3 linked regions of the Stegostoma tigrinum genome follow. The protein of the gene in region 1 interacts with the protein of each later gene in a pairwise test. Links are inferred from orthologs where the notes say so. Each region holds a gene or a part of one and is shown in the gene's direction. Other genes may lie near its edges. The genes, in order: glrx3, mitogen-activated protein kinase-binding protein 1 and trim36.

Region 1 (7,219 bases):
TTTCCTGATTGGGGCTGTCCCAATCAAGGAGCCCTGACCGACAAATATAAAAAGGAATGTCAGAGGTTCTCTTCGTTCTGAGCTAACTCAGTCACAAAAATTGTCCATGTGCAAATAAAAGGTGACTTGGTGACAGGATAGCGAACTCTGTGGAGTCATTGCATTGACCAGTCTATAATGAGCTCAAAATAACCTGTTTATAGTGAACAAAACTTAAAAGAAGTAGCAACAACTGATCAATACCTAAACTATGATGTGGAATTAAAACCATATCCTCTTTCTCAACATACAAACAGCACAAAAAATGTCTCTGCAGAGAAGATGGGTTTAAGGCAAAATGGGATATATATAACACTCCTCTGGTCAAAAGTCTGAAAACAAAAGGATAAAAAAGCAACAGCATCTCACATTCATTAAAATATCCTACCAATTTTGTCCAGCTTGGATTCCCATTCCACTTGAACTCATCTTGCTGAGAATTTCAGTCCAGGACAGAATTAGTGTCCAAAACCATCAAATTCCCAGAGAAGTCTTCTGAAAGCAGGACTTCAGGAGAGAGACTACAGCTTCCTGGGGGGTGACTTCTTTACTCATTGACTTCAGGGTCATGCAAAACATAGTTCTCAGATCAGGGAAGGTTGCTCGGCAATCATTAATATCCTCTCTTCAAGTAATTTCTAACAGTAATCACAGTGATAAACACTTTCTCATCCTGAAATTGATGCTTATCTGTTTCTCCACAATTATTTGATTTCAGGTGAAAGGAGGAGATGATTTACAGAACACATTGAATTTGACTTCAATAATTAGCTGTGGCTTACAACTCAAGTCCTGCTGAATGAAATTACAAAAGATCAATGATGCTTTTCAGTTCAGAAAGTGTCCAAATAATTTGACCTCTTCCAGCTTATCTCACATAGTCTGTAAATATACATCTGTATTTTCAATATGCCCCCAGTCTTGGGAAAAGAAAGACAATTTCCAAGTAAGCTTTACAATGATGGAGACAGGAAACAGATACAACATAAACACAAAAAGTAGACTTGCATGAAGAAAAATCAGAGTTATCATTTTAATTCCAGTGACCCTTCCTCAGAACTGATAGTTTAAAAGAGGTGAAAATGAGGTTACAAGGTGTAGAGCTGGATGAACACAGCAGGCCAAGCAGCATCAGAGGAACAGGAAAGCTGACGTTTCAGGCCTAGACCCTTCTTCAGAAATGGGGGAGGGGAAGGGTATTCTCAAATAAATAGGGAGAGAGGGGGAGGCGGATCGAAGATGGATAGAGGAGAAGATAGGTGGAGAGGAGACAGACAGGTCAAAGAGGTGGGGATGGAGTCAGTAAAGGAGAGTGTAGGTGGGGAGGTAGAGACGAGATAGGTCAGTCCAGGAAGATGGACAGGTCGAGGGTGGGGGGATGAGGTTAGTAGGTAGGAGATGGGGGTGGCGCTTGAGATGGGAGGAGAGGATAGGTGGGAGGAAGGACATGTTAGGGAGGCGGGGATGAGCTGGGCTGGTTTTGGGATGCAGTAGGGGGAGGGGACATTTTGATGCTTGTGAAGCTTTGAACCGCACCCTTATCTGCTTTCTGGAGGGACCACTCTCTCCATGACTCCCTTGTCCATTCCACACTCCCCTCCAGCCCCGCCACACCCAACACTTTTCCCTGCAACTGTAGGAAGTGCTACACCTACCCCTACACCTCCCTCCTCACTCCCATCCCAGGCCCCAAGAAGACATTCCACATCAAACAGATGTTCACCTGCACATCTGCTAAGGTGATATACTGCATCTGCTGTTACCGTCATGGCCGCCTCTATGTCAGGGAAACCAAGCGGCGGCTTAAGGACTACTTTGCAGAACACCTACGCTCGGTTCGCACTAAACAACTGCACCTCCCAGCCGTGAACCATTTCAACACCAACTCCCATTCCTCAGAAAACATGTCCATCCTGGGCCTCCTGAAGTGCCACAACGATGCTACCCGATGGTTTCAGGAACAAGAACTCATATTTCTCTTGGGAACCCTGCAGACCAATGGTATCAATGTGGACTTCACAAGCTTCAAACTCTCCCCTCCCCCTACCGCATACCAAAATCAGCCCAGCTCGCCCCGCCTCCCTAGCCTGTCCTTCCTCCCACCTATCCCTGTCTGCCACCTCAAGTCCCACCCCCACTCCTACCCACTAAACTCATCCTGCCCCCTTGACCTGTCAGTCCTCTCTGGACTGACCTATCTTTTCCCTCCCTGCCCACACTCTCCTTTTCTGGCTCCATCCCCACCTTGTTGACCTGTCTGTTTCCTCTCCACTTATCTTCCCCTCTATCCATCTTCTATCCGCCTCCCCCTCTCTCCCGATTTATTTCAGTACCCCCTTCCCCTCCCCCACTTCTGAAGAAGGGTCTAGGCCTGAAACATCAGCCTTCCTGCTGCTCTGATGCTGCTTGGCCTGCTGTGTTCATCCAGCTCTACATCTTGTTATCTCAGCTTCTCCAGCGTCTGCATTTCCTACTATCTCTGAAAATGAGATTGCTGTTCTTTCGGTTTGCACTGAGCTTCACTAGAACTCCACTTTAACACACCACCCTGTTTACTGGCCAACAATACCTGAAATGCTAGATAATGAAATGTGAGGCTGGATGAACACAGCAGGCCCAGCAGCATCTCAGGAGCACAAAAGCTGACGTTTCGGGCCTAGACCCTTCATCGGATTTTGTGCTCCTGAGATGCTGCTGGGCCTGCTGTGTTCATCCAGCCTCACATTTCATTATCTTGGATTCTCCAGCATCTGCAGTTCCCATTATCACTAATACCTGAAATGCTGACTGCTCTTTTCCTCTAAATGCTGCCTGGCTGCTATGTTCTTCTAGCTTCTTGTTTGTCTACCTTGTTATCATCTTTACGGTGGCATGGTGGCTCAGTGGTTAGGACTGTTGCCTCACCATGCCATTGACCTGCGTTCAATTCCACCCTCGGGTGACAGTGTGTGTGGAGTTTGTACATTCTCCCCATGTTTGTGTGGGTTTTCTCCAGGTGCTCTAGTTTCCTCCTGCAGTCCAAAAATGCACAGCTTAGGTGGATTGCCTATGCTAAATTGCCCACTGTGTCTAGGGTGGGTTGCTTCTCAGAAGTTCACCGTGGACTTGATGGCCTACCTCCACACTATCGGGATTTACATAGCCTGCCACTACACACTACATATTGTTTGTGACTTACAGTCTCCATCAGCAGGTATTCACTCTCCTAGCCAGATCGTTATCAACTGTTCTGAGGAAGGGTCACCAGATCTGAAATGTAAACTGATTTTTTTTCTCCACAGATGCTGCCAGACCTGCTAAGCTTTTCCAGCAACTTCTGTTTTTGTTCATTATCAACTCCTTTGTCCAACAGTTCTTCTCTCTGGGTTCTATTCCCACCTATCATTTCCTCCCTACCCCTCTCCCCTACCCTATCTTCTACATATAAGCCAACAGTTTCCTAGCTACCATCAGCTCTGCAGACCTGATGAGCTTTTCCAGCAACTTCTGTCTTTTTTCCTGATTTACAGCTTCCACAGTTCTTTCAGTTTGCACAATCATTCAGCTCCAGTTATTCATTGCACAAAACGTATAGCTGTATCACCCTTTAAATCTCCAAACTATTCCACATGATTACCTTTTTCATAGTTATTCTGATAACATGGTGAAGATTGAGGATATAAGATTTTTAATATTTTTATGTTCTTCTCAGGGGTCTTCCATTTAAACTACACCATTGGGTTCACTGGTTACAACTCAGCTCACTACTTTTTTCCAAAGTAACTGGGGAAATTTTAAACTCGAATGGCAAGGTTTCGAATTGGTATTACCCATGTGCTGAAATCAAAGCTGATAAATACTGAGCTCATGATATTAACGGTCCTTTGAATAAATCAATGAATCTCTTTAAAAAAATCCATAAATTTCTTTAATGAGTCAACCTTAGTAAGGAAGCGTAAATGTGTTGCACTGCACACCCTCAAACGAACAAAAAAGGAACTGAAAGGTTGTATGTGTCATACATTGTGAAAAAGTCTTGGCAATGCTGCTTCTTGACAGACTGAAGCTGGGACATGCCTGTAAAAGGCAAAGGGGGCGGGCACTGATCAATCCATCATCACTCGGATCATTCGATGTGCCACTAGTGTGGTCTGCTCATCATGGCGGCGGCGGCCGTTGAGAGTGCGACCCAGTTCCAGGAGGTGCTGGAAAAAGCTAAGAGGTAGGTTCGGGGCCGTGGGGGTGACGTTTGGAGATTTCCCGAAAAACGTGTACACCAGTTCCCCGGGCTGATGGAAGCGGCCTCCTTTCCCCACACCCCCCCGGGGATGGAAAGGCCGGTGTGTGGGCACATTGCTGAGGCCCAAGGAGCTGCTTCCTTCAGCCTTTCCCGTAGAGTTTTCGGGCTGAAGGAAGCCCGGCGGGTTTTCAGTGCGGGATCCGCCCATGGAGCGGTGGAAAGGCACTGGTGGAGAGTCGGGCGGTGAACCTCAGACACACGAAGCTGTTCTCCTGGCGTTGTTGCTGACGGGGGTTGGGCTTGGGGAAGAGGGATTGTGCGAATCGAAAAGAGACGATTCGGTATAATTAACCATGAACTTTTTTTTTGAAAACGTGAGTCGTAAAGAAACTGGCAGTAACTTCCAACCACCTTTGCCTCCATCCGAACACGTTTGACTAGGTGAATTGTTTATGTGGGTGTTATCTCCAGTCAAGGGGTATTTACGCAGACATTGCGATGAGGAAACGGGCTGCTGTATCATTCACTTGTCGTGATTTATTCTGTGTAGGAGTATTAGTGGTCCTGATTCTTGTCATTCCCAAATAACAAGAGAAACAATGATTAGATGCTGCTAAGTTTATATTTACGAATTTTGGGAGGGAAGATGAATGGAGACAAAAGCTGGGATGATACAGTGTGGAGCTGGAGGAACACAGCAGGCCAGGCTGCGTCAGAAGCAAGAAACGTGACGTCTCGGGTTGAGACCGTTCTTCAGAAACGGAGCGGAAGATGGGAGCTCAGAAATATAGATTGAGGAGGGATAGGGTTGGGGATGGTAGGTGGAATGGTGATAGGTGAATGCATGTAGGGAGTGGTGGGGATTGGTCAGTCAGGTGGGAGCGGTGGATAGGAAGGCAAGAAGATGGACAGGTTGTGCCAGGTCAAGGCCTTGGGGATGAGAGGGAACGTTGGACACGAAATGAGGCCAGTGGTGGGGATGTTTTAAAACTGGTAAATCCTTATTTAGGCTGTAGGCTTCTCCAGTTTGTGGGTTTGTGACACTGGAGGGGGCCCAGGATGGACGTATCACCCAGAGAGGGGGAGAGGGAGTTAAAATAGTTGGTGACCAGAAGGTGTTGTCGTTTGTCACAAACAGAGCTCTGCGCTACAATATGGTCTCCAAGCCACCGCTTGGTCACAGTGATGCCACCCACAAACTGGAGGAGCAGCACCTCAAGAGCCTGTAGCCCAATGGCCTAAATGTGGATTTCACCAGTTTCAAAATCTCTTTGCCCCTGGCCTCATCCCATGACCAACCCTCCCTCTCAACCTCGCTTCCTTTACCTGACACAACCTGTCCATCTTCGCTTCCACCTGTCCACCCCTCCTACCTCACTGCCCAATCCAAACCACACTCTGCCTGCATTCACCTATCACCATCCCACCTACCTTACCCAGCCCCACTCCTCCTCTCTCTATTTCTGAGCTCCCTTCCCCACCCCTGTTTCTGAAGAAGGGTCCCAACTGAAACATCAACTTGCCTGCTCCTCTGATGTTGCCTGGCCTGCTGTGTTCCTCCACTTCCACACTGTAATCCCTGACTCCAGCATCTGCAGTTCTTACTATCGCTGGAGAGGAAAGCTAACAGTTTTACAATCCTAGAAAGAACAAGTTCAAGTTCAAGACCTGGTATGACAAAATTACCGAAAACAAGTTGTGCATAATTTGCTAATGTGAGCTTCTGCAATACAGTGTTTTTTGTTTCTTCTGGCTTTGCTTATTCTTTATAAACTTAACATCAGTGGCATGTTTTAGAGACTGTTGGCTTGTTCTGTCACCTGCAGCCAAACTGCTCATAAAGTATTAATCTAGTTAATTTGTAAACAGTATGCACTGAGCAAATTAATACTATTAAAAATGAAATTCATTTATGCACAGATTGCATGAACAACTATTATAATAATCAGCTGGATTTTCTTATCAATCTGTGGCAAGCAGAATATATACTTCAAAATTTGTTGATCAGTCCAGAAACTGAACAGGGTTATATGGTGAAAATCATGGGATGTAGAGAAACTATAAACTTCTTTATCAACAAAATGAAGGTGCATAGAAGAGGAAGAACATTTGCAATGTTATACTTACATCCAGATGCCCCTAAATTGTAAGTTCATTAGAGTCCTCTTAGCATTTCTTTGCAGATCTTAGGATGGTTGAAATTGTTTGCAGGCTACTAGTGATTAGTGAGATCTTTGTGACTGTCAGATTCAGCCACAGTGGGTGGAAGTGAAGATGTAGTTGCTACTGGGGAGAATTGGACCCCGCTGCCTTATCTTTCTTGTTCATACTGGTTATTCACTTAATCTCAGTGTTTATAGTACACCTGATTTGGCATCTCTAGGCATCGTATCCTGTGATCTGAGCTTCCCACTCACGATGGTCGATGTGGAAGGGTAAGGTAGGTGGGATGGTGATAGGTGAATGCAGAAAAACTTCTCAGGGTGTCCCTGAAATGTTTGCCACAAACCTCCACTATTTTGATTAATGGTGGTCAGTTTTCCATGCAGCATGATCTTGATCAGTTGTCATCAAGATGCCGGTGATGTTGGCTATTTCTAGAACTTCAGTGTTTGTGATGCACTCCTACCAGAGGATTTTGAGGATGCTTTGGAGGCAGCCCTGGTGAAAATGTTCTAGAAAACATGTGGAACCATGTGGTGCTGCACGGAAAACCTGCTGAGCTTTTCTGAAGAAGGATCTGGCCCGAAACGTCACCTTTTGAGCTCCTAGAATGCTGCTTGGCCTGCTGTGTTCATCCAGCTCCACACTTTGTTATCTAGGATAACACTTCCAAGTTGGTGAACTGTTTGACAACATTCTGCTTGGTTCCCTCTGTTCCAGTGCTTGGTCTATATTCTTCTTGGGGTGCAGGCTTATTCTGGACTCTAGTTTTCTTTAAATGGACTTTAAGTCTGAAGA
Region 2 (7,205 bases), on another chromosome or scaffold:
TGGGTGGGGGGCTGGGACATGGGGGAGTTTAGGCCCTAAACTCTGATATGGTCACAAGATCACAAGCATAATACATGCTGGAGGTGGGGAAACTCTGTGAAGTGTTCAGGGGCTCCTCCTCATCCTGCCCCAGAGGGTAGCATTTTGAAATGTGGCTGAGCCTGGTCCATTTATATGTCCTCCCTTCTATTTGTTGCTGCAGGCAGCTACAGCAGGGGGTGGAGGGTGTGGGGCTCACCCCTGTGACACCATCACTGAACTAGGACATCTCAGTCTTCAGCATTGACCCCACTCACTCATCTCCTTTAAGATAGAATCTTAGCCTGAAACTTGAATTAACCAAGGTTGGGGTAGCAGGAATGCACTAAGTTGAGCTCGGGTTGAATTAATCTGATATTTTCCACTCTCTGGACTCTCTCCAATGTGTCTCAAATTGTATTTGTTAGGCCTATGGGCTGGTTGGAGGGTTGGGGGTGGAGGGAGGTTTAAAACTGTGGCTGTGATCTGTGCTTTAATCAGATCTCTGAGAATCCAACGTTTGATGCTGTAGAGGAAGGGTTTTAGCAATGCTACGGAGCTTGCTGTGTGTGGGCACCTCTGGAATGCATTCATCGAACAAAAAGCACATTTATGGCCAACGTGCTGGATTTTTGTTTGTTGAATTTTGAAGCAATGGAGTACGAGCGTGTGAATATCAACGTGGAATGTGCTGCGTATCAGTTATAGATTTGTACAGCACACAACGAAGCACACAATCACTAATGTTGCCCCCATCAACATTTTGCCCAGTTTTCCGCTAAATCTACTGTCGGTGCTGTTCCATTCACTCTCACAATTGTGGAAGGAACAGGAGTTGACCGTGAATCTCCATGGATCCCCCATCTCTGAGGACTATCCCTCTTTACATAAGAACAGTGTGAATTTACTCTACTAAATAGATTTGGTTGAAGGAGCTTGTGACTCTTTTCTTCAGAGGGGTGACCCAGCAGAAGTCTTCATACCAGCAATCATGAAAATATTCGGCAGCTACGTTTGGAGTACTGCGTACAATTCAAATCGGCCTGCTATAGGAAGAATGCTGTTAAATTAGAATGGGTGCAGAAAATATTTACAAGGATGTTTGGAGAGTTCCAACTCACGTAACTAACCTGTATACTTTTGTAATCAGAGATAATGGGATGAAGGGTCTAGGCCCCAAACGTCAGCTTTTGTGCTCCTGAGATGCTGCTTGGCCTGCTGTGTTCATCCAGCTCCACACTTTGTTATCCCACATACTTTTGTAGACCCCTTCACGACTTGCTTTCTTAAAATCAAATTATCTTCCAAAAAGAAGTGTCAACGTTATTCATTTAAACTAAAACTCATGGTTATAAACATTTAGATTTCCGTCGTTTGCTGTGTGAATAAGTGTCTCCTGGATTTCTGTATTAGATATATTTCTGTTTGTCCCTTTGTGACAATTATCCAGAAAGGTGCCAAAAAGTTTGGGTTTCTCTGCATCCAGTCCTGGCCACCATCGTAACTTTTCGCCAACGTTCTTCTTTGTGGAAAGCCCTGGATGACCCTGGTGGAGTTTAGCCAGTATCTGCTCAGGGCAACTTGCTCCCTGCAATAATGTGTCGCCCTCTTCTGCGGCCCAGTCTCTCCAGGTCCGGAAAGATTTCAGTACTGGTTGTGGTAACCCTTCGGTTTCCCCCGTCACCACCACCACCACCCCCCGCCCACCCCCCCACCCCCCGCTGCTGCTTCAGTTTTGTTGGAACCAGATCCTTCCGTGTCCGAACTCTGGTGTTGTTGGCTGTGACTGGAAGTGTGTGCAGAAGTTGGAAAGCCATGACAGGCTCTTCCAGTGACTGGTGCCACCGGTGGTGTATCTGTCAGTGGGAGATGGCTCAATACATCCACATTCACTACTTGGTCTCCTGGGCTATGTTCTAACTTGTAATTATACACACTTTGTATTAGAGCCCACTGCTGAATTTGTCTTGAAGCTCTGGGTGGCACTGCCTTGCCCCCTTTCAGTAGACCCCCCCCACCAAGCAGGGGTTTGTGGTCCATTATTATGACAAATTTATATCCATAAAGGTATTGGTGGAACTTCCTGACTCCAAACATGACCACCAAACCTTCCTTCTCTATCTGGGTCTATTTAGGCTCTGCATTAGCCAAAGCCCTGGATGGATACTTTATTGGTCTTCCCTCACCATCTAAGAGCTCATACTACCCTAATGCCATATGGGGAAGCATCACATGTCAATACCAGACCTCGCTTGGAATCGCAGTGTGCCAACACCTTAAAGCTATGACTTGGCGAGGCAACCGTTTCCAAGACTGACTCTTTTATAAGAGTTGATGCAAAGTTAAGAGGATGGAAGGTCTGTGTACGTATATATGAACTTTCCATAATAAATCACCAGGCCAGTATAGATGTAAAAACACAGCAGAATCGTGGTTGGGGCAGCACCTTCATGTGTTTAATAGACATAAATTTTCCTGAGGAATTATTTTTATTTCATTTTAATCAGAATCCTGCAAACTCACAGATTTGAAAGGAGCCATTCAGAAGTTCCAGGCACAGTGGAATTCAGTTCCCTGGCAATTCATTCAGAGAATGCTACAACAGGGATTCCATGTCTCCGATCTATTCTTTTAAACTGAATGTAAAGCCTTCTTGACGTGGCCCGCATCAAACACTTCCAAGACAGGTACAGCATGGGAAATGTCTCCCCACATATTTAAATTGCAAGTAAAGCTTCCTTAATACTGTCTGAGATAACTCCACAGAGGCCAGTATCCCATCACCAAGTCACCCTTTACTATCACATAGAGCATCCGTGGCACTGATCCAGCTCCCTCAGAGCCCACCCTCAGAACCGCTGACCCTTCTGTTTATATCTGTCAGCCAGGGCTCCCTGATTGCACCAGATGAGCAGGCCCAATCAGGCAACTTGTATCCTATGAGGGTGCAGATCTTGTTGCAATCATTACAGATTCCTACCACTATTCTGCAGCCAAAGAGACAATGATTTTCATCTGGGGCCCGGAACTTGAAGCAACGATAATTTTCCCAATCCCATGCTGCATCTGTTTGATTCACATAGTACAGTGCTAAACGTAAATGTCCCACTCGGGCTGCAGTTGAATTGAGCACCCAGTTAGATTCAGTTTTGCACAATGTGTATCAGTCAGGGTGTATGTGTATTGTGTATCAGTCGGGGTGTATGTGTAATGTGTATCAGTCGTGGTGTAGGTGTAATGTGTATCAGTCGGGGTGTATGTGTAATGTGTATCAGTCGGAGTGTGTGTGCAATGTGTGTCAGTCGGGGTGTCTGTGTATTGTGTATCAGTCGGAGTGTACGTGTAATGTGTATCAGTCGGGGTGTACATGTAATGTGTATCAGTCGGGGTGTAGGTGTAATGTGTACCAGGTTTGGGTGTATGTGTAATATGTACCAGCCTGAGTGTATGTGTAATGTGTATCAGTCGGAGTGTACGTGTAATGTGTATCAGTCAGGGTGTAGGTGTAATGTGTATCAGTTGGGGTGTAGGTGTAATGTGTGTCAGTCGGGGTGTATGTGTCATGTGTATCAGTTGGAGTGTACGTGTAATGTGTATCAGTCAGGGTGTAGGTGTAATGTGTATCAGTCGGGGTGTAGGTGTAATGTGTATCAGTCGGAGTGTACGTGTAATGTGTATCAGTCGGGGTGTAGGTGTAATGTGTACCAGGTTTGGGTGTATGTGTAATATGTACCAGCCTGAGTGTACGTGTGACCTATTTCTCTGAACTGGCTTTTGTCCCAGTGAGTGGTGCGCAGGGAACGGTGTGTGAAGCCTGTCCCAGTGCCCTCGCTGCCTCTGCGCGCTGTGTAATGTTTGAACATTGACGGAGGGGGCGGTAATCCGTGAGAGATCCGCACAGCGATCGCATAGAGGAGGGGGTGGGGGCTTTAGTGGGAGCTGATCGGCCCGGGTGATTTCGGTGGGAAGGTTTGCGGGGGTGGGGGGGGGGTGGTGGGGGTGGGGGGGAGGGGGTCGGGGCGGTACTTGCGGGCTCTGATCGCTGGGTACGGCTGTTGGGGGGAGGCGGAGTGGGGGGAGGTGATTGTCTGTGCCGGGGTGCGGGGGAGGCTCTCAGCCGGAGCGTCCCGGGGAAAATGCTGCTGGAGAGACGGGCAGAGACAGCGGCAGGGGCTCGGTGATCCCGGCTGGGGAGGTGGTGGGGGGTTGCGCTGCCCGGAGGTAGGTGGCCGGCCGAGGGAGCAGGAGAAGGAAAAGGGCTGAGACAGCCATGGCTGAGCTGGGGACGGCCAACCTCACCACCAGGATCAAGAAGCTGCTCCGCTCCCCGTCCCTCAAGCTGCGGAGGAGCAAACAGCGAACAGCAGGCGGGCAGATCGCCGACAAGGTGAGTGTCCCGGGAGTCCCCCGCCTCGCTGTCACTCTGCCCCTCGGGGTTTGAGGGTTTGGGTGCGGGGGGAAGGCGGGGAATCCTGGCGTACATCCCTCCCGGCCTTTGCACGGCCAGCACCCCCAGCTCTTGCCCGCACCGATGGTGAGCTGCTGCAGCACTTGGCGAGGTGTCCGGGAGAGGGAGAGACAGACACACGCTCCGGGTGGGCTTTGGGAGACGGGGAGGTGGGCGCTGGGGGTAGTGCTCTGCCAAACCTGTGCGCTGCGGTCGACACACACAGACCGCCGCAGGGAGTGGGGGGTGGAGGGGGTGTGGTGTGTGTGTGGGGGTAGGGGCGAATGTGCCTTTTCCCTCCCTGGGGGGGGGCTTTCAGAGGGGGGACATGACCTGTACCTGTACCCCCACCACCCTCCATCCCCGGCTTATCCTTCCATCCCGGGCTTATCCCTCTTTGGATGTTGCCCACTTGCTCCGCGCCCACCTGGCATCTTTCTCCGCAGCTCTCTCCATCCCTTGTGTATCCCAGCCCTGTCTGGAGTGGGTCAGTGTGTATCCCAGCCCATGTCCGGAGGGAGTCAGTGTGAATTCCCACCCCTGTCCAGAGTGGGTCGGTGTGAATTCCCGCCCCTGTCCAGAGTGGGTCGGTGTGTATTCCAGCCCCTCTCCGGAGGGAGTCAGTGTGAATTCCCGCCCCTGTCCAGAGTGGGTCAGTGTGTAGCCCCGCCCCTGTCCGGAGTGGGTCGGTGTGTATTCCAGCCCCTGTCCGGAGTGAGTCAGTGTATATTCCTGCCCCTGTCTGGAGTGGGTCGGTGTGTATTCCCAGCGCCTGTCCGGAGTGAGTCAATGTGTATTCCAGCCCTGTCCGGAGTGGGTCAATGTGTATTCCTGCCCCTGTCTGGAGTGGGTCGGTGTGTATTCCCAGCGCCTGTCCAGAGTGAGTCAATGTGTATTCCAGCCCCTGTCCGGAGTGGGTGGGTGTGTATTCCAGCCTCTTATCCGGTGTGGGTCGGTGTTTAACCCAGCCCCTGTCCGGAGTGGGACGGTGGGTATTCCAGCCCCTTTTCCGGAGTGGGACGGTGGGTATTCTAGCCCCTTTTCCGGAGTGGGTTGGTATGTATTCCTGCTCCGTCCTGAGTGGGTCAGTGTGTATTCCCAGTCCCTGTCCAGAGTGGGTCAGTGTGTATCCCAGCTCCTGTCCGGAGTGGGTCGGTGTGTATTCCAGCCCCTTTTCCAGAGTGGGTCAGTGTGTATTCCAGCCCCTTTTCCGGAGTGGGTCGGTGTGTATCCCAGCCCCTGTCCAGAGTGGGTTGGTGTGTATTCCCAGCCCCTGTCCGGAGTAGTAGGTGTGTATTCCCGCCCCTGTCCGTAGTGGGTCGGTGTGTATTCCCAGCCCCTGTCCAGAGTGGGTTGGTGTGTATTCCCGCCCTGTCCGGAGTAGGTCGGTGTGTATTCCAGCCCCTTTTCCGGAGTGGGTCGGTGTGTATTCCCGCCCTGTCCGGAGTGGGTCAGTGTGTATTCCTACCCCTGTCCGGAGTGGGTCGGTGCGTATCCCAGCGCCTGTCCGGAGTGGATCGTTGTTTATTCCCGCCCCTGTCCGGAGTAGTAGGTGTGTATTCCCAGCCCCTGTCCAGAGTGGGTCAGTGTGTATCCCAGCCCCTGTCCGGAGTGGGTCGGTATGTATTCCCATCCCCTGTACAGAGTGGGTCAGTGTGTATCCCAACCCCTGTCCGGAGTGGGTCGGTGTGTATTCCCATCCCCTGTCCAGAGTGGGTCAGTGTGTATCCCAGCCCCTGTCCGGAGTGAGTCGGTGTGTATTCCCGCCCTGTCTGGTGTGGGTCCATGTGTATCCCAGCCCCACTCCGGAGTCGGTCATTGTGTATTCCCAGCCCCTGTCTGGAGTGGGTCAGTGTGTATTCTAGCCCTGACCAAGCCGTCAGCAAACATTTTAGCTGTGTTTGGAGTGGTCAGCCAGTGTTCTGGGTCTGTCCTGCGTGGCCAGTGCTCTCCCTGCCAATGTCCTGAGTGGTCAGTGCTGTCCCTGCCAATGTCTTGTGTGGTCAGCGCTCACCCGGCCCCTGTCCCAAGTGGTCAGTGTGCCTACGGTCTCAGTTCGTACCCGTTGTGGAAATCGCGGATCTTGATGCCATTACTGTGCACCACCTGTCTGGGTTTCAGATCTCTTCATTGTGTCCTGTGTGCTCGATGTTATTTCGCAGATAAACCTGATGATACTGGTTTCTGGTTTCAATGGAGAGAGCTGCTGCAGGCAGTGGGAACATGCTTGTTACTGATATATCTGAGGCGTCTCCAATGGAGGTCACTCTGGTTCATGAATTGGTCAAACAGGCGTAACATGACGATGCTATATCATCAGACAGTGTGCAAGCGTGAAATTCGTCACCTCAATTTACACTGCTGCTGAATGCAGGCAGGTCAGTCTGTTGCCCCCACGTTCATTCAGTGAAAGTTTTCACGGTGAGCAGGAGACCCATGTGAGATAGAAGTTTAAGACTGGCACTGTCTGTATCATGGTAAATACCTACCTGGCTGGCCTTCGCTGCTGCTGATCTGCTTTGTGAATAAACCTCTCCCTTCCCCGCTCTTCATCCTCACTGCGCTCCCCCCGCCAACCCCAGCAGTGCATCATTGTGGAATATTGGTTGTGCAAGCCAATGATTTCCCTGGGTGCCTCATCATTGCCAGCAGCCTGATGCAGCTCCGTGATCCGCACGTTGTGCAAATTAAAGCCCAGCTTTCTAAAATCCCAGTGATATCCGTAAGGAAACCATGTATC
Region 3 (6,928 bases), on another chromosome or scaffold:
TTGATCTGGCGCAACCTGCTCATCTTCTCTCCCACCTATCTGTTCCTCCCACCCCACTGACCAATCCCCACCACTGACTACCTGCGCTCACTAACCACCATCCCACCTACCTTCCCCAGCCCCACCCCTCCTTTTTCTATTTATTTCTAAGCTCCCTTCCCCCTCCCCATTTCTGAAGAAGGGTGTTGACCAGAAACTGCTGCTCTGATGCTTCCTGGCCTGTTGTGTTCCTCCAGCTCCACACTGTGTTACTTCTGACTCCAGCATCTGCAGTTCTTGCTATCTCTCTTGCCAAAAATTGGTTTCCATTACTTTTCACCATGAACTGCTCCAGTTCCCATCTGGGCAAAGAAAGTAATGGCATAGTAACAAGCATATTTTGGGTGGCATGGTGGCTCAGTGGTTAACAATGCTGCCTCACAGTAGCAGGGACCCAGGTTTGATTCCTGCCTCAGGGAACTTGAGTTTGCACATCCTCCCTCGTGTACAGGCTAGGTGGGTTAGCCATGGGAAATGTAGGATTCCAAGGATGGCTGGGTCTGGATGGGATGGTCTCCAGAGGGTTGGTGTGGACTCAGTGAGCCAAATGGCCTACTTCCACACTGTAGGGATTCTATGTATATTCCTGAAATTAAATCGTGGTTGCATTTTGAGAAGTTCACAATACTATAGCAAATGAAACTTGCGCCATCGGTTGATATGAAATTTTCAGATATACTTTGACAAAAATATAAAATGATGTGTATTTTTAAGTGAGTTGCAATGTAAGCTGGTCATAAGCTTTCCAACAAAAAAAAGTATAACATTTTATCAGGACCTTATAGGCGTGGCTGTTAGGTGAGAACAGTATAACACTGTCTACAGTAGACAAAATGCTTTTTAACTTTATATTAAAATGCTACTGTGGGCATTTAGGCGAGTTACGACACAATTGCTCAATTTTGTTTACTGTGGAAGATGTTCCTACAATTATTAATAAGGCTAGATGTATAAGATTAAAAACTACTTTATAAATGTGCAGTTGTAATAACCAGAACCTTTTTCCTGATGTCACAAGTAATTGACATTGAATATATTGATATGTAACATGGTTTGGAATAAAAAATAAACAAACTAATTTATGAGTTCAAGATTGTTGTCTAAATATAGTACTAAGATGAAATTTTCATATCAACATATCACCCTACAGTCGGAATACTTGTTTCAGCCCTGTCACAGGGACCTTCACATGACACACAAAAAATGAACAACTGCTGTTTTGAAAACCAGCTGGGAAGTTCGGCCAGTGTTCTGGTAAATAGATATCTCGTAACCTGGATTACTTAAAAGATTATCTGGTTGCTATCACATTGATGGCTATGGGCCCTCACTGTCTGCAAACTTATTGCCATGTCTCCTACATTACTGCAATGGCTACACTTTTAAGAAGTTTTTATTAGTTTTAAGACATTTTGGGATGTCAGTCGGTTACAAGAGGTGCCTTTTCAATGGAAGATATGCATATACCAGATCTGTACATGTATTCACACAGTCAATAGCCAGCATCAACCTTGAAGAAAGAAAAACTTGAAGTTATAGAGGACCTTTAACCATCTCGGGATATCACAAAGTGTTTTCCAGCCAACTGAGTACTTTAAAATTGTAGTTTCTGCTGTAATTTAGGGGAAGCATAGCAGCCAGTTAGCAAAGTGTTCACCAACAGCAGCACCACGCACACCTCAGCAGCACAGGGACAATTTGTAAAGTGTAAAGAAGGCATCAGCTAGTTTACAGGCTATTCCAGCTCTAATGCTAACATCATCTTATACTTGAGCGGACATCATGTGTTTGGATTTCCAAAAATCCTATGGAAGGCAGTGTGGAGCTGAAATTGATGCACTGTTCTGGTGGAGGGTGTGACGGTGAATAGAGTCCAATTGATTTACTACAGCTCAGTCATCACCGGAGATTAGTGACATCAGGGTCTCTCTGACAGCAGAGAAGGGGAAGTTTGATAGAAGCCAAAATCATGAAGAGCTCTGACACAGGAATGAAAGTGAAGCAGTTTACAATGGCAGAAGTGTAAGACAGCGGGAACGGGTATGTGAGGTAATTGGCAAAAGACCCAGAGCTGACATGAGGAAAGAATGATTTAGGAATGAGTTTTTATGATCTAGAATTCACTGTCTGAAATGTTGGTCGAAGCATATTCATTCTTTTTTACCAAAAGAATTGTTTGAATGGGTCAGATTTGTAGGGTTTCAGGGAAAGAGCAGAGGGCCTGGGAAATTATCCTCAAGGGCGTGCATAAAGACGATGGGCGGAACTGCCTCCCTCTGCACCATATTATCTTGTGATTCTATGATGGTGCTCGGAGCGTTTGCCAATATTAAGTGACCAACATGGGAAAACTAAACGTTAAATAAACTATTTCCAATCCGTTCTGTTGGAGCCATGACCTTAAATCGATAACTTTAAAGAAATGACGGGGTGGGCGGGGTCACTGAGCGAAGGACTGTCTAATCTTAAGCCACTTGGTGTTTGAAAATTGTTAACATTGTAAACAAAAAATGAAAACAAACTATACGATTATTTGACAATTTCGCTGGGTTGTAAAACAGAGTTCAGGTTTATAATGAATACAAGTGCATGCTGGGCGCAACGGGCCGGCGATTATCAGCGTGCCGAAGTGTGCATAGTGGGAATAAAGCCAGTGCAGGAACGCCCAAGATTAAGATCCCAGGATCAAATGTCTTATTGCATTGTGTCTTTGTTTAGTACTGGGCTCCGTCTGGAATGCTTAGGGAAAACAGGCTGCAATAAGTGGCGGTGTTGAAATGTGAATGAAATATTAACTTTAGACACAGCGTAAATGTGGCCGGGCAGCGCCGCCGGCTTGGACTGCGACAGAAATAGACGGCGGCTGTGGATTTGAGCAAACACACCCGCAATCTCTGTGCACTTGATGCTAAAGCCAGGTTGTGCTTCGTGCCCGAGCAGCCGCCTCCGATAGGAGCTCACCTGCCCTCAGCATTCCCCGTGAGATCGCGGTTTCAGTTCGGCAGCTCGGATCCGGCTCCGCACCCAGATCGCTTGGAGCGAATCCGAATCCAACCCTAACCCTGTCAGAACGGGAAACGTGGCTCCCACGGTGACCGCTCCCTGCCCCTTGGGGGCAAATGGCTTTACGTAGACTGTGCATCCAGAATCTTTTCTGGGACACGGGTGGTTAACCTGGTGCTGGGGGTGGGGGGGGGGGTAATCCAGACTCTGAGGGTGGGGTGTTAATCCTGTCTCTGGGGTTGGAGGGGGTTAATCCTGTCTCTGAGGATGGGACGTTAATCGTATCTCTGGGGGTGGAGGGGGGTTAGTCCTGTCTCGAGGATGGGCGAGGTTAATCCTTGCTCTGAGGGTGGGGGGGGGGTGTTAATCCTGGCCCTGGGGGTGGGGGGTTAATCCTGCCTCTGGGGGTCGGGGGTGTTAATCCTGTCTCGGGGGTGGAGGAGGTTAATCCCGTCTCTGGGGGGGAATGAGGGGGTAATCCTGGTGCTGGGGATGGGGGGTGTTAATCCTGTCTCTGTGGGTGGGAGAGGCTAATCCTGGCCCTGGGCGTGGGGGGTTAATCCTGGCTCTGGGGGCGGGGGGTTAGTCCTGTCTCGGGAGTGGGGGAGGTTAATCCTGGCTCTGGGGGCGATAATTCTGGTGCTGGGGGTGGAGGGGGTTAATCGTGTCTCTGAGGGTAGGGAGGTAGTCCTGTCTCTGGGGGTGGGGGGTTGTTAATCCTGTCTCTGGGGGTGGGGAGGAGTTAATCGTATCTCCTGGAGTGGGGAGGGGGGGCGGTGGAGGTGGATTTCTCGGTGCTCCGTGGCTGTGCTGTGGGAAATCTGGGCGAGGCTGTGCCGCTGAGATACACAGCTCAGCAGGCTGGAAATGAACGGATCAGCGAATCGCTAAACCTTCTCAACCTGCCCCTGGTAGACTGTAACTAAACCTCTCACAAAGGTACATTGTCCTCCTGTTTGTCTCCTATTCAATGTGTCTGACTTCGAGCAGCCCACCTTGGCTGCAGTTTTCACACCGAGATACTGCGTGCACTCCACTCTCTCCGCTGTTTAACCCCGATGGGAAAGCGGGGAGAGCTCCATTCCATTTGAATACTTCCTGCTGTAATATCCTGAAAAGCCTCTGTGAGTTACATCCGTTCCTGGTGCTATCTGCGGTCCTGAACCCAGGGCATGAAATTTACAGTGGTCCTGAAATTGGGGTTTTAATTACTTTCAGTCTATTTGAAGGTGACCATAGGTGCGGGGCACTGCTGATGGTTCCCCTGAAAGCCTTGAGAGACAGAGCTCTGTGCTAAACCCATTAGTCTAATGCTGCCATCTGTTAGCACAAGTGTTAGCGAGTGAGTGAGCAGCGGATGTTAGCCGTCATTCCGCCGGTTGGTTCGGGAATATCTCCATACCCCGCCCTCGGCGGTCACCCTGGGGCGGGGTTTTACATTCAGGGAAGTGCTGGAGTTGAGGCCGAGCTAAGGATTTCGGGGCGGTTTCAGTAGGTGCTCGGAGCTCAGCAACCTGACTGTTCCCCGGCTCCATCGACTTCATCTCCGACTGGCTTCTGTCCAGGAAAGTGCCTTTAACCAAGCAGCATGTCCGATTCTGATGATATCAGTGAGTTTGGATTCATCGTTGACAGGATCTCCAGAGGCGAGGTAGGTGGGATAACAGCACAGCCTCACTCCATCCAAACCTGTTTTTAGTGAACACAGTCAATGAGCCCCGTCTTTCTCCTTCAAGCTGCGAGGCGCTGGTCCCAGCTTTCTCTCTCTCTCTCTCTCTCTCTCTCACACACACACACACGCTCACAGTCTGGCTCTGGGCTGCTCCTCCCTGGCGGCTCTTGACTGAATGAGTCCCCTTCTCATGTCCGCTTTAATCCCACCGGACTGTATTAGCCTCTGCATTTCATCTCATCCCAGTTACTTCCAGCATCAGTGCCGAACCTGATCTGAACCCTCTGATCTGTCACATCGAGCCGATCCTAAGACAGGCACCTGTATTACTGACTACAGCTTTATGTTCACAGTTTCCAACGGTTCCATGGCCAACTTTCCTTCAGCTCAGTTTTCTGTTCTGATAAGATTGCTTGCTAATCAGATCCGGTGTCCTTCCCATTTCCATCACGCCTGTGACAGGTCTACTAACTGTGTGAACCGTGTCGGTGAAAAGGCGTAAATATATCAGTAGTAACTTCCTGCGGTGGAGTATGGTAAAATGTTTACAGAACCGACAACACACACACAGACACGCATTTACACCAACACACACACATACACACACCGCACACTTACTCATACACACTTACACACAGACACCACACAATTACACCGAAACACCGCACACCACACACAGATACACACACAAAGACACACACACATAGACAGCACCACACAGACACAAAGGCAGATTCATCACATACACACCGAGACCGAGGCACATATACTCACGCACATACACGCAGACACAAATGACTAATCTCATTCAGACACATAAGACTCACAAACCGGACTCCGGGACTATCTGTCTCTGTATTGAACAAACTCGCTCTGAGTGGGATTAGTTTCTCATCGCCCTGCTCTCCGTCCAGCAGCCACATATTGATCATTTCTCACTCTTTCAGCACTTGATAGTGGGAAATATTTGTAACTGTTTCGTCTTGCCGTCATGCTCAGCACAGATCGGATCATTTCTCAATACCTTGCTTATTTCTGTAATATGTGATCCACATTTTTTAAAGAAACGTTTCTATATATTGAAGAATTGACGTGAGTGTTACCTGTGTAAATAATCGTCCGGAGCTTTCAGCAGGTTTTCATATGAGAATGCCTGGGGTTTGGTTGTTTAGAAGCAGCGCAGGGCTTGGATAATTCTCTCCCTTTTCTTGCAGGTTCCCATTAAAAACATAGAGCGGGAATTGATCTGCCCGTGCTGTAAGGAGCTCTTCACTCACCCCCTGATCCTTCCCTGCCAGCACAGTGTCTGCCACAAATGCGCCAAAGAGTTGCTGCTGTTCCGGGACGATGCGGCCACCGAGCTGGACTCGGAGTTCTCCAATCCGGCCACACCAGTCAGCAGCCCCCGGAGCCGCCGCCTCTCCTCGGCCAGTGTCGAGAGGCTCGATAGACTCACTAGGACAGGTAGGTGCCAATCTCAGGCGTGACCCACATCAACAGCTCCCACCTGTGGGCGTTTGCTGGCCAGGGATGGGAAACACTCCATCGGCCGACCTGTTGAGTGTTTCCAACAATTTTTGTTTTACTTTTGCCTTAGAATTCCAGCTTCTGCAGCTTTCTATTTTGCAAAACAAAACGAATTACAGGGTGAGGCCCCAATCTGCTCTTAAGGAGAGCGGTACAGGGTCATCAGAAACTCGTGAGCCTGCTCCGTGCTAGGCAAAAATGTAAACAGTTATTATACTGCTAGCACAGTCTGTATATTCACACGCTACATAAAACTAGACTGGTCGGGAGGCTCCTAGTGTGGTCTTCATTTTAGTCCTCACCATTGGGGCTGTAAAGCTTAATTGAAGAGAACAGGTTGCATAGACCAGTGTTATATTCCAGTAATTATCCAACATTGAGGGTGATCTGAGGTGTTAAAGATGATTTGAAGGATTTAAGGTAACAGACAAATAAACTATTTCCCACATGTGAAGATAATAACAGAAGTTAAAAGCAAGACCATAAAATGAGACTTAGGGGTACTGCCAGGTAACATTTCTTAACACAAAGGGCATTGGAAATCAGAAATTCTTTCCATTGGAAGGGCTCTCAATGCTAAGTTAATTGATCATTTCAAAACTGAGGTTGTTGGATTTTTGTTGGTTGAGGGTATTGAGGGAGATTAAATTTATGAAGGTAAATGGAGTTAAGATGAAGATAAAATGT

Evidence for each region.
Region 2: the proteins of glrx3 (region 1) and mitogen-activated protein kinase-binding protein 1 interact in binary tests that used the Homo sapiens proteins (3 or more experiments, as listed by UniProt). The two-hybrid records come from large-scale screens. The link is inferred for Stegostoma tigrinum from reciprocal best matches to the Homo sapiens genes GLRX3 and MAPKBP1.
Region 3: the proteins of glrx3 (region 1) and trim36 interact in binary tests that used the Homo sapiens proteins (3 or more experiments, as listed by UniProt). The two-hybrid records come from large-scale screens. The link is inferred for Stegostoma tigrinum from reciprocal best matches to the Homo sapiens genes GLRX3 and TRIM36.

The regions. Positions count from the first base shown.
Region 1 is NC_081373.1:35,715,617-35,722,835, forward strand, and holds the start of glrx3 (glutaredoxin 3), read left to right. Parts: upstream 1-4,126; 5' UTR 4,127-4,178; coding exon 4,179-4,240; intron 4,241-7,219. UniProt on the Homo sapiens protein: Together with BOLA2, acts as a cytosolic iron-sulfur (Fe-S) cluster assembly factor that facilitates [2Fe-2S] cluster insertion into a subset of cytosolic proteins.
Region 2 is NC_081363.1:79,942,363-79,949,567, forward strand, and holds the start of mitogen-activated protein kinase-binding protein 1, read left to right. Parts: upstream 1-4,129; 5' UTR 4,130-4,288; coding exon 4,289-4,405; intron 4,406-6,771; exon of another isoform or gene 6,772-6,843; intron 6,844-7,205. UniProt on the Homo sapiens protein: Negative regulator of NOD2 function. It down-regulates NOD2-induced processes such as activation of NF-kappa-B signaling, IL8 secretion and antibacterial response. Involved in JNK signaling pathway.
Region 3 is NC_081356.1:77,617,554-77,624,481, forward strand, and holds the start of trim36 (E3 ubiquitin-protein ligase TRIM36), read left to right. Parts: upstream 1-3,834; 5' UTR 3,835-4,630; coding exon 4,631-4,693; intron 4,694-5,928; coding exon 5,929-6,178; intron 6,179-6,928. UniProt on the Homo sapiens protein: E3 ubiquitin-protein ligase which mediates ubiquitination and subsequent proteasomal degradation of target proteins. Involved in chromosome segregation and cell cycle regulation. May play a role in the acrosome reaction and fertilization.